Oreochromis niloticus: one gene and its partner. The protein of the gene in region 1 interacts with the protein of each later gene in a pairwise test. Links are inferred from orthologs where the notes say so. Each region holds a gene or a part of one and is shown in the gene's direction. Other genes may lie near its edges. The genes, in order: lhx9 and khk.

What was found.
Region 2: the proteins of lhx9 (region 1) and khk interact in binary tests that used the Homo sapiens proteins (3 or more experiments, as listed by UniProt). The two-hybrid records come from large-scale screens. The link is inferred for Oreochromis niloticus from reciprocal best matches to the Homo sapiens genes LHX9 and KHK.

The regions. Positions count from the first base shown.
Region 1 is NC_031981.2:1,419,014-1,427,338, forward strand, and holds the start of lhx9 (LIM/homeobox protein Lhx9), read left to right. Parts: upstream 1-5,028; 5' UTR 5,029-5,165; intron 5,166-6,099; exon of another isoform or gene 6,100-8,325. UniProt on the Homo sapiens protein: Involved in gonadal development.
Region 2 is NC_031970.2:188,631-196,626, reverse strand, and holds the start of khk (ketohexokinase), read left to right. Parts: upstream 1-4,718; 5' UTR 4,719-4,810; coding exon 4,811-4,905; intron 4,906-6,030; coding exon 6,031-6,147; intron 6,148-7,072; coding exon 7,073-7,207; intron 7,208-7,358; coding exon of another isoform or gene 7,359-7,493; intron 7,494-7,996. UniProt on the Homo sapiens protein: Catalyzes the phosphorylation of the ketose sugar fructose to fructose-1-phosphate.

The DNA.
Region 1 (8,325 bases):
CTCTCATCCCAGGACTGCAATAGATCAGCTCGGCGCTCACCAGCCGACGCACACATGCACAGGCAGGCCCGCTCCATCGGAACACTGCGTGGCTCCTAATAGGCCAATATAGAATAAAGGTTGCACTTAACCGTGCACTTCGTAGCCCTGAGTGATAGCGCTAGGTAAGGTCAAGCGCTCGTATAGAACTACCTATGCCGAGGAAAGATGCGGTGCTTGATTTGAGAGTGCGTGTGGGTAGGCGGCATGACGCCTCCGGGCGCTCGCCGCAAACCCGACGCACACACTCGTCCTTCTCCGCCCGATTGGGCAAACGGCGTCGCCATGAGAGGATGTGTCTTTTCTCGGCAGGTGGGTCCCAAAGGCAAGTGCTTAGCGATCGAAGCAAAGCCCTGTGAGCGGCTACAAGGAGATCGGTGATCCCGACAGTGCTGGGGAGGACAGGTTCTGGGGACGCGTCGTCAGGCGGGATGAGAGGCGAATTTATTTGGTGTTATTCTAAACCGAGGCAGCGGAGCGTGCGGCAGCAACATTTCTACAGCGGGACGGCGAAGGTGTCACACTCATCAAGTACCTGGGCCCGCTTGCCTGCCGCGGCTCCGCCGGTTTTGCCTAGGGACTCGTCTGTCACATTAAAGTAGATGCATTGCCATTCAGGGCCTCGGCGGTCCCGCAGCCTGACCATGAAATAGGCCAACTTTCATGTCTGCCTCATCCCTCCACGTCTTCCCGATCCAGTGATGGCACAGTTTGAATTTTTTTCCCCTCCATCATCTTCCAGCCTAGCAGTTGGTGACTGAGACACAAACAGCACAGCACACCTCTGCACTCCGTTTACTAATCCATCCTTAATTCATCAGCAGATTGATTGAGTAGCCTGTGCAGTGCACTTGCACAGTGAGAGAGAGCATTCAACTAGTTTCTGTGTTTTAATCATTGAACCGAATTAATTTATCTAAAGTTGATGAAAGTCCCGCCTTTTATTTGGGTTGGAGCTGGGTTATGCAGCACCACGATCATTTTCTCTTTTACCCACAGTGCACATGTGCTCCCAGCAGCCAGTTAGACACGTGAGGCGTCTCTTTCAGGCGTTTTGGACTGAACATGTCTGACCCTCAGCTGGAGCATATGCTGTACTGGAGCAGAGTGGCAGCTATACGCCGTGTGCCTTTCTGCAGGATGATGGCACTAGCTGCAGAGAAAGAGCGAGCTGTCCAGTTTGGATCTGTGACCAGACATGCTCCAGTCACAACCAGTTGACAGGCCAAGCAGCAGCCCCCCACCCCCATCGCACCCCATCTCAAACGGGCACAGCAGCCCCGCCGCCAGCGGCCCCGACCACAGTCGGTTACAGCGTCTCCATCACTGCTGGCCAGACCAGCCAGGAACTGACACAAGGTTGGCGGGGAAAAAAACTTAAGTGTCAGCCATATGATGGCTGAAAGGAACATCAGTCTCAGCAATTGGCCAGGCACCGCTCAGTATGCCTGCCTGCCTGCCTGCGTGCATGTGTGTGTGTGTGTGTGTGTGTGTGTGTGTGTTAAGCAGCATTTGAGCAGCCCCTACATCAACGTCTGGTCGTTCTACACAGACAATGTCAGCTCGCCTCAGGGCAGCAGCCTCCACAGTGGTCATATGGACAACCACATCCCTGTGGTAGAATTAGTGATAAAAAACACACATGGCCACTGAGTGACAGTCAGCGCACCAGATTCCTTTGGACAGACAGGGCTGCAAATAGCACAGAGGAGCAGTTTCTCCCTCAGACCGCAACTGGTGGTCAGGCTCATGCCAGGCCAAGCCGTGGTCGCCAGATGAGCCCAGATAAAAGGAGAGTCGGGGGCAGTCAAAGGCACTTAAGCGCCCACGGAGCACTTTGGCCTGTTTATTTCCCTCCTGGTTTTGCATCGCCGCAGTCGTTCATGATTTCTCGTCTGCGCTTTGGACCCGACGTGTCGCCGCTTTCTTTATCTGTCACGCCGTCTAACCTCCAGCTCGCTTCACATTACGCCGTCTTCTGACTCTCTGTCCTCGCTCACTGAAGTAGAAAGACGGCGCTTGTTTGACAGCAAAACGATATTTACTAACCCTCTCCTCGCAAACGCTGCTCTGCCCCATAAGGTTATGTAGTGATAAATAACATCCATCTATTATGTTTCCATGTCCTTTCTAGTGTGTCCAGATACGGACTAATACACGCACCATTCCCCAGAAGGATACCGTGTCCCCAGAGGTGCTGGGGGTGGGGGGGTGCATGTAGTGGTAGCTGTTCTGGAGGCAGGGAGGGGAGGCAGGCAGCAGTTGGTGTGCAGAGAGCAGCGGCTCAGGCTGGCTAGTTAAGAGCTTCTCTTTCCTATCCTCCATCTGCCAGGGACCGGGGTTGTGATTTGAGCTCCAGCAGAGCAGAGCAGGGAGGAGATCGAAGGAGGGGTGGAGGGCGAGAGGGAGGGAGGGGGGAGCGTTGCTTGGAAGAGAGAAAAGGGAAAGTGGTAGAAGCAGGAGAGGCGGGGGAGAAATGACCAGCAGGAGGAGACGTGGAGATTCTCGTATTATCCTGCACGTCGTTATTTTCTTAAAATCGCCGTTTATCATTTTGCTTCTTTACGAGACGCCGCCGGGGGGGGGGGGGGCGTTTCCCCCGTTTTGTGCATTTCTGATATCGCCTCTGCTTCAATAATTAGAAAGTCACGTCCACTGTGTGTTTGTAAATATTTCCAGGATGTCTCACCATCCACCCACCCACCCACCCACCCAGGCTCATGTGACTGGGATACAGCTGTACAGTGCTTCACTCCTCCCTCTGTTCCTCCTCCTCTGCCTCACCCTCTCCCTTCCCTTCCCACCCCTTTCCTTCATTCTGTCAGTGTTTAGCCTGTGGTTCCCTGCACCTCACTGGATCCTGGGAGAGCCTTCCCACCGCCTCCTCCTCTTCCTTGCTTCTCTCCTACTCCTCGCCTCCTCGCCTCCACCACCTCTCCTACGCTCCTTTTCTGGCCATGCTTTGGGAGTGACTGAGAGCTCCCTCTGTGAGACTGAGTGTCACTTGAGGTGACCCAGAAATGATAACTCCAGATGAACTTTGGATGTGTGGTAATCTAACCACCATGCCCTACAGCAGAGAGGAGCCAGGCACTCGGGGAGGTGCGGGGGTGGGCGGGGGACAGCCAGGCGACCTGCTTGGCGCTGTAGCCGCCGTTTCGCCGATTTAACCAAGCGCGCTGCAGCGCCTGTCTGGGTATCGTGCTCCTAGCACGCTGTGTGTGCGTTCCGTGTTGTGGTACGCTGTGAAATAGATCTCAGTGTTGTTGCATTATTGATGAGATACACTGTGATGTCAACCCAGGCTGAAGGAGCAAAGCAAAATGACTGTTAGCAGTGTGGCACGTGATCATTTATGCAAGCGGTACAGAGGTGTAATTAATTGTCACCCTTTGCTCCAGCCCCAGTGCTCGTTCACACAATATTCTATTCACTCGTAGTCAATTGAAACGAGTCCACCCGTGCCTCGGCGCTCCGTGGGGAGCACGAGCAGGTTTGGGTTATCCTCTTGTTTTTCTGGATGACCTCCCTTTCTCGTGTTAAAGATGAACGTGCACTTCAGGAGGAGCTAAGTGCTCTTTAAACGGTTTTGCATTCTCTTACCGGTGTTACCATTTAATGGACGATTGTCAGTTTGCATTTCAGGTGGAGAATATAAGGACGTGAGTGGGGGAAGAGAAACCTCACGCTCCTTGTATTTACCTCTTAAATTGAGAAAATACGGTCTCATTAAGAGAGAGACACAACCAAACCATCCTCAAAACATAAACACTATTAATATTTACTAAAATCTTGACATTATTAATTATTAGTGAATTTTTCATCAGCGTTTCTTTTTTTTATTAGATGTTGCAACACAAGGCCACACAAGGCAAGTGTGTAAGTCTGCTTCCTGGCTGAACAGACTTATTATTGCTTTGAATTTTTATGAAGTTTGTCAGCTCAGTTCCTCAGAAAAGGATCCGGGCGTGCAGTGTGCCACACTTTATAGCATGCAAATATGAACCACAGAATGGGCTTATCTTGATATGCTTTTTTTTTTTTTGTCTTATTTGTGTTTTTAATGAAATGCATCAATAAAATTAGACTAAAAAGTGTGGTAGGAGTCACGTGTCGTCTTGTATTAATGGGTCTAAACCCTCCTGAGGTCGCACATTTTTATTATTCGTTTGTCGTCACGCAAATATGAAAGCAAGGAAATCAGAGAGGGGGAAACAAGAAAACTGCGACCTTTCTAATAGGCAGCCCTCCGCGGTTTTGGTTCAGTACCCACATGATTAAAATGCGCACAATTCGTCAATTAATGAGCACTTTTATTTTGAAAATGGCTTCGATTTGGTATTTGGTTATTCAATACCAAAACATTTTTTCCCCTCCAGGCGTGTGTTGCTGCGCTCCCTATCTTTGTCAGATTTGATTGATCCAGTTTGACTTTACACCCTAATTATTTATTCACACAAACCTCTCCAGCCAGTGAGACTGTAACCGTGCTCAGCTCACTTCAGTCTCCTATAATACGATCGGTGTGTGTATATATTTTTAAAAATAAAAGGTAAAGAAGCCATGATGCATTTTGGGATTATAACTGTTTAGACCCAGATGTGCCAGCTTTCATTTCTGGTTGCCAAACGCTGGTTTATTCATATTTGGTGCGTAAAACGAATAATAATAATAACCAAGCAGGAGCTGGATTCATTTACAGCACAGGCTAAGTTGGAGTGTTTAAAGGACAAATACATATTTAATTGCTGAAAAGTCCCTACATTTTATTTTATACAGTGATAGTTGTTGTGTGTTTTTTTTCATTTGGCGACCACCGACTTCACCACTTTAATTCAGAAGCACATCACAGATTATAACCTACATGCTGAGTAGGCCATTGGCTCATGGCTCCCCGTTTTCTGTGTGCTGCGGTGTGTTGAGGGCCGTCTGCCTACGAGAGAGGAATATTTAAATGTCTTGTGTTTTAATTGACGCCCGAACTAGAACTGTAAGCTCAGAAACGAGGAACAGCCCCCCATCTACCGGCAGCCTCTCCTCTGTCTCCTCTGCACACTGCGCACAGTCCGGAGCGGCTCAGTCTGCACGCTGCACAGGGATCTCACTCACACACTGCACAGCCGCAGGTAAGACTTTTTTCCATAGCTATTTATTCTTGAGGGCAACGCTAATAATAATAATAATACTAGTAACACAGAGAGGGCTTTGGGGGGAAACGAAAGGAGAAGCGTGGAGCGTGTGAAGCAATGCGCGACAGATCTGATGCGTGATAAAGACAGTGACATGGGTGATTTTGTCTGGGATAAAAGCGCAGACTTGGACTACAAACGCACTCGATCGGTGTGTGATTTTAAAAAACTTATATATTTTTTTCTTATTATTATTTTTCTGTTTGCCTAAATCAGTCTCGATTATGCGCATAAATAATAGATTGGAGTTCGCACGCCAGTAAAATCGTGCGAAACACAAATGTATGGGTTTTATGAAAATACAGGCAAAATGTCGCTGTGTGCGTGATTGTGATATTAGTATTATTATTATTTTAATTTTCATTATGTATTTGACAAACGTCAGTGGCCCACTGAGCCGACTCTCGCCATGTCAAACAGAAATGCTGACACTGTGGATTTTTGTGCTTTATTGTTTTTCCAAAGCCTTAAAATAAATTCAGTTCCTTAAATAATAATAATAATAAATTAATCTTTAACTTGGATAAATCACCCACACTGACTAAAGCTGACACACAAAATCACCCAGTTTTATTTCCTACAGGTTTTTTTAGAGACACTTTAAAAATACTGAAGGTGTAATAGATTTTTTAAAAAGATATTTCAAAATAAAAGTGACATTTTTTTCGTTTTGTAAAAAAATATATACATATATACATATATATATAGTTTGGCTAAAATCCGAAGTGAAATAAAAAGACAATCAGACAAATAAAAAGCTTCATGAATATGTTTTAAATACAGAAAAAAACAAAATAAAACAAACAGCAGCTCCAAAGATTCCCCCCCCCCCCCATCCCCTTGGTGTTCACTGACACATTGGTAAGCGCTCTTCAGTCATATTAAATGTCACTGCTGGAGGCAACGGGCCACGACAGCGTTATTTATCGACATTAACGCTTTCATAAAAAAACAAATAATAATAATTATAATATTTTCTTTAAAAAACTTCTTCATATTGGAAACACGCCCTATTGCCAGCGCCTAATTCGCAGAGAAGACGCAGAATGGCAGGAAAACTGCAGTTAAGATTAAAAATCGCACACAGAGCTGAGCTTATCGTTCCACTCGGGGCGTCTTTGTCCAGGTGAAATGAAATCCTCGTGTCCTTTTTGCGTGCCCCTTTTCCCCCACCGCTCTGCGGCTGGTGCTGGGACACTGCAGAGCGCAAATGAGCGTTATGGGTCTGACAACAGCTGCACTTCCAGCCCGTCCAGGAGGGTTCAAGCCTCGTCTTATAGCGCTGCTATCAAGGGGCCTCCAATTAAAGCCAACACAACTTCGCTTGCGTGTTTGGTGCTCGCGTGTGTGTGTGCGCGCGTGCGGTGAGGTGGATGGGTGGTGGGAGGTTCACGTGATAATGTAACACGTCTTGAGATGAAGCATCCACACCTGCAAACCTCCCCGAGCTTTGCTAAATCTATTAACGGGACTGATGTTTGTCTGTTGTTTATGAAAAATAATGCCGTCATCGAGCTTACAAAGACCACAGCTCGCTGGCGTGGATCCAACTGGAAGGTCACGCGGCCCAAATCTCCAATTAATGAACGGATTAATTAAAAAAAAAATATATATAGTTTTGTTGTCACCAAGTCCGCACTGCATACTGGAAGCTGAACGCCTTTTATTTCCTGCCTTTATTATTTGGGCAACAAAGCTTTCCACACCCTTTTAAAACTGACACAGATCGTTATTGCAGCCCCCACTGCGCCCTGCGTAAAGCAGACCATCTTTGGAGATAGGGATGGAATTTTAAAAAGCATGAATTTCTAAAAATATGCAATAGCTGGTTGAGGTTTCCCTGTAGCGACCACCAACTGGAGGTCTCTCTCTCATCTCGCCTTTACTTCCACGTTGCTTCTTATAAAGCCCGTAAGAAGAAAAGCAGAAAGAAAGAGAAAAACACAAACAAATGAAATGCGGAGACTACACAGTTCTCGGCTGCTGTCAGATCAACTCTCCAGCAGGTAAACAAGGTTTTGGCCTAATTCAGCAGACAGAGAAAAGACGAAAGGCCGCGTTAATGAATCCTTGACAGTGGATAATGACTGTTTCAAAAGAGCGTTTAAAAGAGGGAGAGAGAGATTTCTATACATGTAAGCATGTGCAACGAGCTGGAGTCTGTTCGGGTTATTTGAGTAAGGAGGCTGTTGTTACCTGGGATACATTTTATTATTTAATTAATTCAGTTTTTAACCAAATCTCATTCATTTGGGCCAAAAACAAATCACATTGTTTCAAAAATGTTCAATTGAATCTGTCCCCGCCCTCTAGCCTATCACTGATCACTGCCCCGCCCCAGACAGAACATTTATGCCACAAACACAAACACACTGTTGCGCGCGCGCGCGCGCGCGCGTGTTTGTGTGTGTGTTTTCGGGACCAAACCAAACACTCGGTCCGGTCCAGCTCACACTTCCCAAAAACTCTTCCAGTCTGATGATGAAGTTTTATTAGAAAGTGTCTTTAAACGACACCCCGTGAGACACGTGTTTATTCCCACTTGTGAGGACTCCCGGTGAAACCACAGAGGGCCTCAGACGCCTGCATGGATGCATATGATTTCATAAATAAATCAAATATATTTGCACCGAGTTTGTGCAGCTTACGTTCCCGTCGTCTCGCCTTTAAATGGCAGAACAAACGTAATGAAAATGTCAATACCATAAAGCAGTGGTCCAGAATCAGGAGTTTTTGAGGGGAGAGTGACAGCTCTTTGTTACTGAATAGAAATCAACGGCGATGCAGGGAGAGAGAGAGAGATGGGGAGAGGGAGGGAGGGAGAGAGGGAGAGAGAGAGGAACTCCTCCTACCAAATTATTCAGACTGGGCCGGCTCTGCTCTCTTCACAAATAGGACACGGTTCTCAAATCCAGGCAGTCCCAACCTGACCTCCAAGCACCGAGGAACCCCGGACTGGGAAACTGGGAGAGAGAGAGAGAGAGATCACCAAAAAGAAACAACAACAACAACACACACAAAAAAACTTTGTGTCATTATTTTGGCCAGTGTTCACACTCCCTCCCCTCCTCCCTCCTCAAACTCCACCACCACCACT
Region 2 (7,996 bases), on another chromosome or scaffold:
GGACATATCTTATATATATCTAAAATTTGCAGCAGTTACGATAATAATGTGTTGTTTGCACGATAAGCACTGCTTCCGCTTTTTGGAACGCTGCTCTTTCTCAGCAAAAGCCTCCCCTAAATTGACCGTGCGCTTCGTGTTGTGCGTGCGTGCGTCTGTGCATTTCATGGCGTTTGTGCAGAAATGACTAGTAAGACAAGGCTGCAAACTATTCTCACAGACTTCAAAGATGCACCTAAATTTAAAAAAAGATCATCCTCTATCTTACTGTACAGACGATGATCTTTTTCTGTCTCTCCCTCCTGTTCTGTTCCTGTGCCACTGGGAAACTGAACTGACCTGAACAAACTCAACAACAAACTGAACAAAGATGTAATTTACATTTTATAGCACGAACCTCTAGATGGATGGATTTTGCAGACAGGACATATCCTACCTTTTGCACCAGTTACAATAATAATGCGCTGTTTGCACGATGAGCACTGCTTCCAAGCTCCCCTAAATTGGCCGTGCGCTTCGTTTTGTGCGTGCACGCATCTGTGCATTTTGTGGCGTCTGTGCAGAAATGACTAGTAAGACCAGGCTGCAAACTATTCTCACAGGCTGTATCCCAATTCAGGGTCTGCAGCCTTAAAGGCCGCATTTTAAGGCCGATTACGTCACAGCGACGCGCCGAAGGCTGTCCCAATTCAAAGGCTGCTCGAAATGCGGCCCTCAAATGCATCCTTCATGTCCCTGAATTTTAAGGACGTGGTGGTGTAGACTTCATGGCCCAACATATCCCACAATTCATAGCGCAGCAGTCGGTGTGGATAATTTTTCCGCAGACGGCAGAAGTGGAGCGGCCGAAGAGTAAACTGTTAAAAGTAAGTACTGAATAATATGTCACTTATTTATGTGAAAATGTTGAATAACGGAGAACATTAAAACATTACTGTTGGCCACATGTCGGCAAAGTTATGTGACATTAGCGATGTTTGTACTTTCAGCGTTTACTTGGTTTTAAAGCCGTTCAATAGTCAACCTTAATCTTACAGAGAATGTGATGATTTTATGGATAATTAAAGTCAGTCATATATCCACAAACACAACAAGCTGAAAGTCAGTGATGCTGCTCGGTTTGCAGTCCTGAATATGACGGCACAAGCAGGATTCACTGCACTGTTAATGTTAGCTATGTTATATTGCTGCCTCTGTTCGGTGGTGTTGAGCCAAACGGACTTTAACGTGTGTTTGAACGAGCTGACGGTTCACTCGTTAAGCTGAAAGAAAGATGCTTTAATCACAGGAGTCACACATGTGTCCACTGGACCATCTGGAACTCTTCTTGTTTAGCACTCGTAATAACACAAACACTAAATCCTCCTTCTCTTGTGCTGTTTTGTAGCAGTGTATACACCTGAGACTGTCACCTGTCTGTCTGTCCTGCACTCTCTCTCTGTTTCTTTCTCTCTGATTGCAGAATAAAAGTATGAACATGTATTTATAAGTTACACTTGTGTTTGAATCCTGCAACTTATCACACATTTGATTTCCATGTGTGACAACTGCAAGTGTCCAGAGTGAGGACAGACTGAGGGACCCACTGCTGCACATCATCTGTGAGGCTTTGCACCCCTGATGATCCACCAGGACAAACTCAGGAGTGTGTGAGGAAGAGGGGGAGGAAGAGCCAGCAGCAGCTGACAGATGGAGAGAATAGACAGACTGTTCCCTGAACTTCCTGTTCCTGCTCAAACACAGTGGAGTTTTTGAGTAGCTTATCTGCTTAGCAATTTAATTAAAACGTTTTAGATACATTCCTTTTTCATAGCATAATCTTCATGTGCTTCATCCGAAGCACACTTTCTGTGTACTACCTGTACTACCTAATTTATAGCCAAAGTACCATGAACATAATTTACTGTCAGCTTTCACTGAGTTCATGGAGACTGTTACTGCACCATGTTGGTAAAAGTCATAAATCACTCTGGGTTTGACATTCAGACATTACTGTTAACATAGTATACCCCATTAATAGCTGCATTCTGACAAACATCCAGCCACACCACCTCAGCAATGAAAAAAACAATAGAAACAAAAAAAAGTATGACTAATTTCTACAGGAACAGGGGGGGGGGGGTGACAATTCCAAACCCTCATGGCCTTGTGTAATAAATTGATTGCCCCCTGAACCTAATAACTGGTTGGACCACCCTTAGCAGCAACAACTGCAATCAAGCATTTGTATTAACAGTCTTTACAGCTGTGGAGGAATTTTGGCCCACTCATCTTTGCAGAATTGTTGTAATTCAGTCACATTGGAGGGTTTTTGAGCATGAACTGCCTTTTTTAATTCAATTGAATTCAATTTTATTTATATAGCGCCAAATCACAAGAACAGTCGTCTCAAGGCAAATAGTAAATGGCCTGTATTTGTATAGCGCTTTACTTAGTCCCTAAGGACCCCGCTTTACACGTTCAGTCATCCACCCATTCACACACACATTCATACACTGGATTATATTGGACAGTAGACCCTACAATAATACATACAGAGAAAAACCCAACAATCATATGACCCCCTATGAGCAAGCACTTTGGCGACAGTGGGAAGGAAAATCTCCCTTTTAACAGGAAGAAACCTCTGGCAGAACCAAGCTCAGGGAGGGGCGGGGCCATCTGCTGTGATTGGTTGGAGTGAGAGAAGGAAAACAGGATAAAGACATGCTGTGGAAGAGAGACAGAGATTAATAACAGGTATGATTCAATGGAGAGAGGTCTATTAACACATTGTTCCTTTCTCTGTGCATGAAGTCTGTAAAGTGTTAGATCATAGAAAATCATCAGGACCCGACTTAGTAGATCATTTCTTCTTGACACTGTCAGCTGATTTTGTGGCAGAGCCTCTCACAACACTTTTCAACCTCACACTGGATACGAATGAGGTTCATCACTAACCGTAAATCTCAGACTCATCACTGTGAGTTATACTCTCAGGTAGGATGGCCTGCTTTGGAAAGTCGGAGGAACTCTCATCTATACAGTTTTATATATAAGGCAATACTTGGGTTGCTACCTTCTTATATATGTTCCCTGCTTGCAATGAAACATGCTGGTCAGTATTCTCTTCGTCCACATGGTTACTTGTTGCTTTCTGTTCCATTTGCCCGAACTGAATTTGGTAAAAGACCTTTTGTTCATTTAGCACCCTCGGCTTGGAACAAACTGCAGAACGAATGGAAAATGACTGAATTCATTCCATTAAGTGCTTTTAAATTCGGTCCACACTCCACACCAGTTGGTGGCGGTAGTGCTGTTTGCCAACCACCAATAAACAATATAAAGAAGAAGTGATGCAGTTTGTTGCTGTGACTTCACTCTAGTGATGGTAAATTTGATTCTTTTTACTGAATCGAGTTTTAATGAGTCACTCACCAAAGTGAATCGGGTTTTTTGAGTCATTTGAGTCACTGAGTCAGTTGACCAGAGAGTGCAAAAAATGTACATTTTCACTCAAACTTAATTTGTTTCTCTTTTAATGTAAATCCTACTGCTAAGATGAGTGATTCTTAAAGAAAACAACTATTTTCCATCCATCCATTCGCTTCCGCTTCTCCTTTTCAGGGTCACGGGGGGCGCTGGAGCCTATCCCAGCTGTCATGGGGCGAGAGGCGGGGTACACCCTGGACAGGTCGCCAGTCTGTCGCAGGGCCAACACACAAGGACAGACAACCATTCACACTCACATTCGCTCGCACATTCACACCTAGTGGCAATTTGGTTTATCCAATTAACCTATCCCCACAAGTTGCATGTCTTTGGACGGTGGGAGGAAGCCGGAGTACCCAGAGAGAACCCACGCAAACATGGGGAGAACATGCAAACTCCACACAGAAAGACCCCGGCCTGATGTTGGAATTGAACTCAGGACCTTCTTGCTGTGCGGCAACAGTGCTAACCACCGTGCCACCGTGCTGCCCTATTTTATATAGCAAAAAAGAGCAAAAGAATTTCTAAAGGGAACATTTCTTTTGTTTATTTTTATTTTATTAGTATTTTCCTTACATGTGTCAAATATATATTTTCTCATCTAAATGTCCACTGAGCTGTGAGCCAGGGGGCGGTAGTGCGCCTTAACATTGGTTGCCAACGAAGAAGAAGAAGAAGTAGCTGCGAGCCAGGAGGGAGGGGGTGAGTGAGTGAGTGAGTGATTCGTTCGCTCTATGATTCAGCACAGGAGGGAGGGGGTTAGCGAGTCATGAGTGATTCGCTCGCTCTATGATTCAGCACAGGAGGGAGGGGGTGAGCGAGTCATGAGTGATTCGCGCGCTCTATGATTCAGCACAGGAGGGAGGGGGTTAGTGAGTCCTGAGTGATTTGCTTACACTATGATTCAGCGCAGGAATGGCGGGGGTGAGTAGCTCAAATGTGCTGTTAGCATGTTAGCAGAGCGTTGCTACTGTAAACCGAGGAGCTATTGTCTTGATGTGAGCTTCTACTCAGGGTTTTTTCTTCCAGTTCAGAGCAGAAATGTTTTTGTTAAGATACTGGATGTTGTGTTTTTCTTCACAATTTGAATTATAAGCTAGATATATTTCTACTAGTGAAATTAGTTTGCTAACAGCAACAGGGATGAGTCAGTGAGTCAGTTGCGCTTGTGAATCATGATTCACGAGTCAGTAAAGTGATTCTCGAGTATTGAACGATTCGTTCATGATTCGCGCATCACTACTTCACTCTGAGGGAATCATGGGAGGAAGTGTTTCAAAGTCCACCTAAGTGTGCCTTTCTAACACCCTCGGATCACAGAGAGTTTGTGTGGACCAGCATGGAACAGCAGAAGAAGATTCTGTGCGTGGGGCTGGTGTGTCTCGACATCATCAACGTGGTGAACAAATACCCTGAAGAAGATACTGACAGCAGGTTAGCATCCAGGCTAACTGTGACAGCAGGTCAGCCTGCAGGCTAAAGCTGACAGCAGGTTAGCATCCAGGCTAGTTCTGACAGCATGTTAGCCTGCAGGCTAAAGCTGAGAGCAGGTTAATATGCAGGCTAACTCTCCAGGCTGGTACAGCTTATGTTGAACGAGCTGTTTAGAGAAGTGGATCTCTAAAAAGTGATTGACTGTGACATTGTATACAGTCAGAATTAGGGGTTTACGGGTAAGGGTTTTTGGTGATGTTTAGGGGTCAGGGTTGGCAGTTTTTTTAGGTCAATGTGTGGGCAAAGGTCACGCTTTCATTACGTAACAGATTTCAGTGTAACACTATCGACTTTTGATACTCCGTTTAGTTTTTTATTTTAAAAATGAAAAATCCAGAACATGATGTAAATTATATTAATGTATCTCTTTGGTGCTGCAACAAGCCCTAACCCCACAAACAGGAGGTGTCACTAATCTGAAGAAGAGAATTCATCTTTTGCCTCTCTCCTAACATGGTGACATTAGCATCACTGGTTCTCCTGCTCTCTTCACTCGTGTGAACGAGGCCAAGCTGATTGATCTTCTATAATCTAAGTTTTCCTGGCCTAGGCCCTGGCACTAACCTGACTACGACCCGACTGTCCCCCAACCCTGTGCTTTTAAGTGTGGTCGATAACTGTAGCAAGGATCCCAGGCTGACAGTTTCTCCAGCACATGAATGTTTTTATATGTGTAAAACAGCATACAGAATACTGAGTGGCAGGCTTTTCAGCCCCACTCTCTCCAGCTCAGTGCTCCTCACTTCTCCTGTATAGCACACACCTCACTTCTCTGAGATCCTACTCATAGGGGTGACATGATTAGGCTATGGGGAACAGCTGTGTGCATGAGGCTCCCCTGACACTGAACCCACTGCTCCGCCACAATGACTTTGTCCGTGATGCACTGGTGCTTGTTTCTCATTGGGGATGGGAAACACACTCATTTGACTTTAACGTTAGCAGCTTCTTTTTGTTTCTGTGTGTAATGTTTGACTCCATGAAGCCTTTCATCACTCCTGCCATCAGTATTGAAAATTAATGATTGCCCCTCTGATGGATGATGTCATCACTTTGTACCTGCAGATGTCTGTCGCAGCGTTGGCAGCGGGGAGGAAATGCTTCAAACTCATGCACAGTGTTGTCGCTGCTCGGAGCGCCCTGCGCCTTCATGGGCTCCCTGTCAGCTGGTCCTGTGGCCAAGTGAGTCCTTTTCAAATGCTCATCAATAAATCCATTTGTTCAGAAATCCAAGAAATACACAGTAATCAATGTTTGAGGGCAGAATCCAGAATGTTAATACCACAGTTTTTTACTGAAACTGTGGTATTTTGGAGATTCTACACACACACACACACACAAATGAACATTATCAACCTACTGAAATAAAAGACTTTCTGCTACTTAACTGAGCAGATAAATATCCCAGATGTTTAACTGACTATATTCTGATTAAAAAGTATTTCTTTAATTTTTGAGCAGTATAAATAAAAAGGATACTGGCAGCCACCAGTCTTTAATTAGGTGTTTGTATGATGACATTTAATGAATTTTGTCAATGCAATAAGAAGGAATCAACTTTGAATTTTTTAAACTTCACCTCATACTTTAACCTCCATATCAAGTCGGTGAGACTGGAAAGCGTTCACGATGTTTAATAACTGCACCAGTGGCATCAGTTTGAAAGTGACTTCCCTTCTTATTACATTCATGGGGAAACTTGACCTCTTACCTTAACCTGAGATTCAAACTTGTTACAGAATTTTAGCAAATGCATGCGAGATATGAATTTTAAAATCCTACAATAAAGTAAATGAAGCAGGTTAAAGGTGTGGAGATAGTTCTTGATGTTTGAAGCTGTGGTGAAGCACAAAGGGGGAAACTCCTCTGGTGCTCACATTTACAAAGCATTCTTCAAAGGGTAAAAAAAAAAAAGCCAGCTCTTTGTTCACCATCAGTTTCACCTGAGCACTAAAAACAGGAGATTTATCGTCTTTATTTAGCATCCCCTCAGAAAGTGCATTACTAACATACTTGTTACCACCTCTGACTTTAATTATTCTGTCTGCCATGTGGAGGATCTGTGTTTCAGGAAGCCAAGTCAGTGTAAACAGTTACCTGTCTGTAGTTTTATTTTGGAAGATTTTCAGAAGTACTGCATCGATGTATCTCTGCTGTCTGAGCACCCTCAGTGCTTCCTTCCAGCCTCCATGGTCATCAGCAACATAAGCACAGGAAGTCGCACCATCCTGCACATGAACAGGTGTGTTTGTGTGTCTGTGTCACTAACGGCATCTGTTTCAGTGTCATCGTAGAGGAGCTCCGCCCCTCCCGTTCTGCCAGTCAGAGTTCGGGTTTCTGTCAGAGTTTTATTTTAGAGGGGACATGATCCTTCCTGTCTGTCTTTCTGTCAGTTTCATCATGGCTGACTTCTCGCAGCGGGCCATCGACGTGTCAGCGGTGGTTTTGCAGGTCGAAGGTCAAACTCCATGTGCTTGTTGTGTGGTTTGTCCATCCACTGGAACTCGAACCGTCGTTCTCTCCGATACGTAAGGCGTAAGGCCGTCGAAGAGCTGCGATTTTCACAGCTCACGTTAGATATTAATTAATAATGATTATTACAATGATCGAGGTTTTCTTCCAGCCTGTTTGATCAATGTGTTATTTCTCACATCATGCCTGGCTAATCAGCACCGCAGTGAAATAATCAATCTTCCCTTTGTCAAAAATATATTTTTAAATGAAATTCTGCAGAATCTTTCCTGTTTCTTTTGATTCTCTTTCTGATCACCTGAACAAACCCATCAGTGGTTCAGGTGAGGCTTTACTGATTGGATTGCACCATGCCCTCTCAGACTCTAAGCTCCACCCATTGGCCGCTGGAGGTGGATGAAACAAATACACTGATGAGTTTAGTGAGTCTGCCATCAGGAAGCATGAAAACCTAAATGTCAGCCTAAATCTGGTCTAATGACAACTGGGCACATGAGCCACTGCAGAGCAATGGCTCCACCAATCAGATGAGGTGAATATCAGATGACTTTTTATCAGG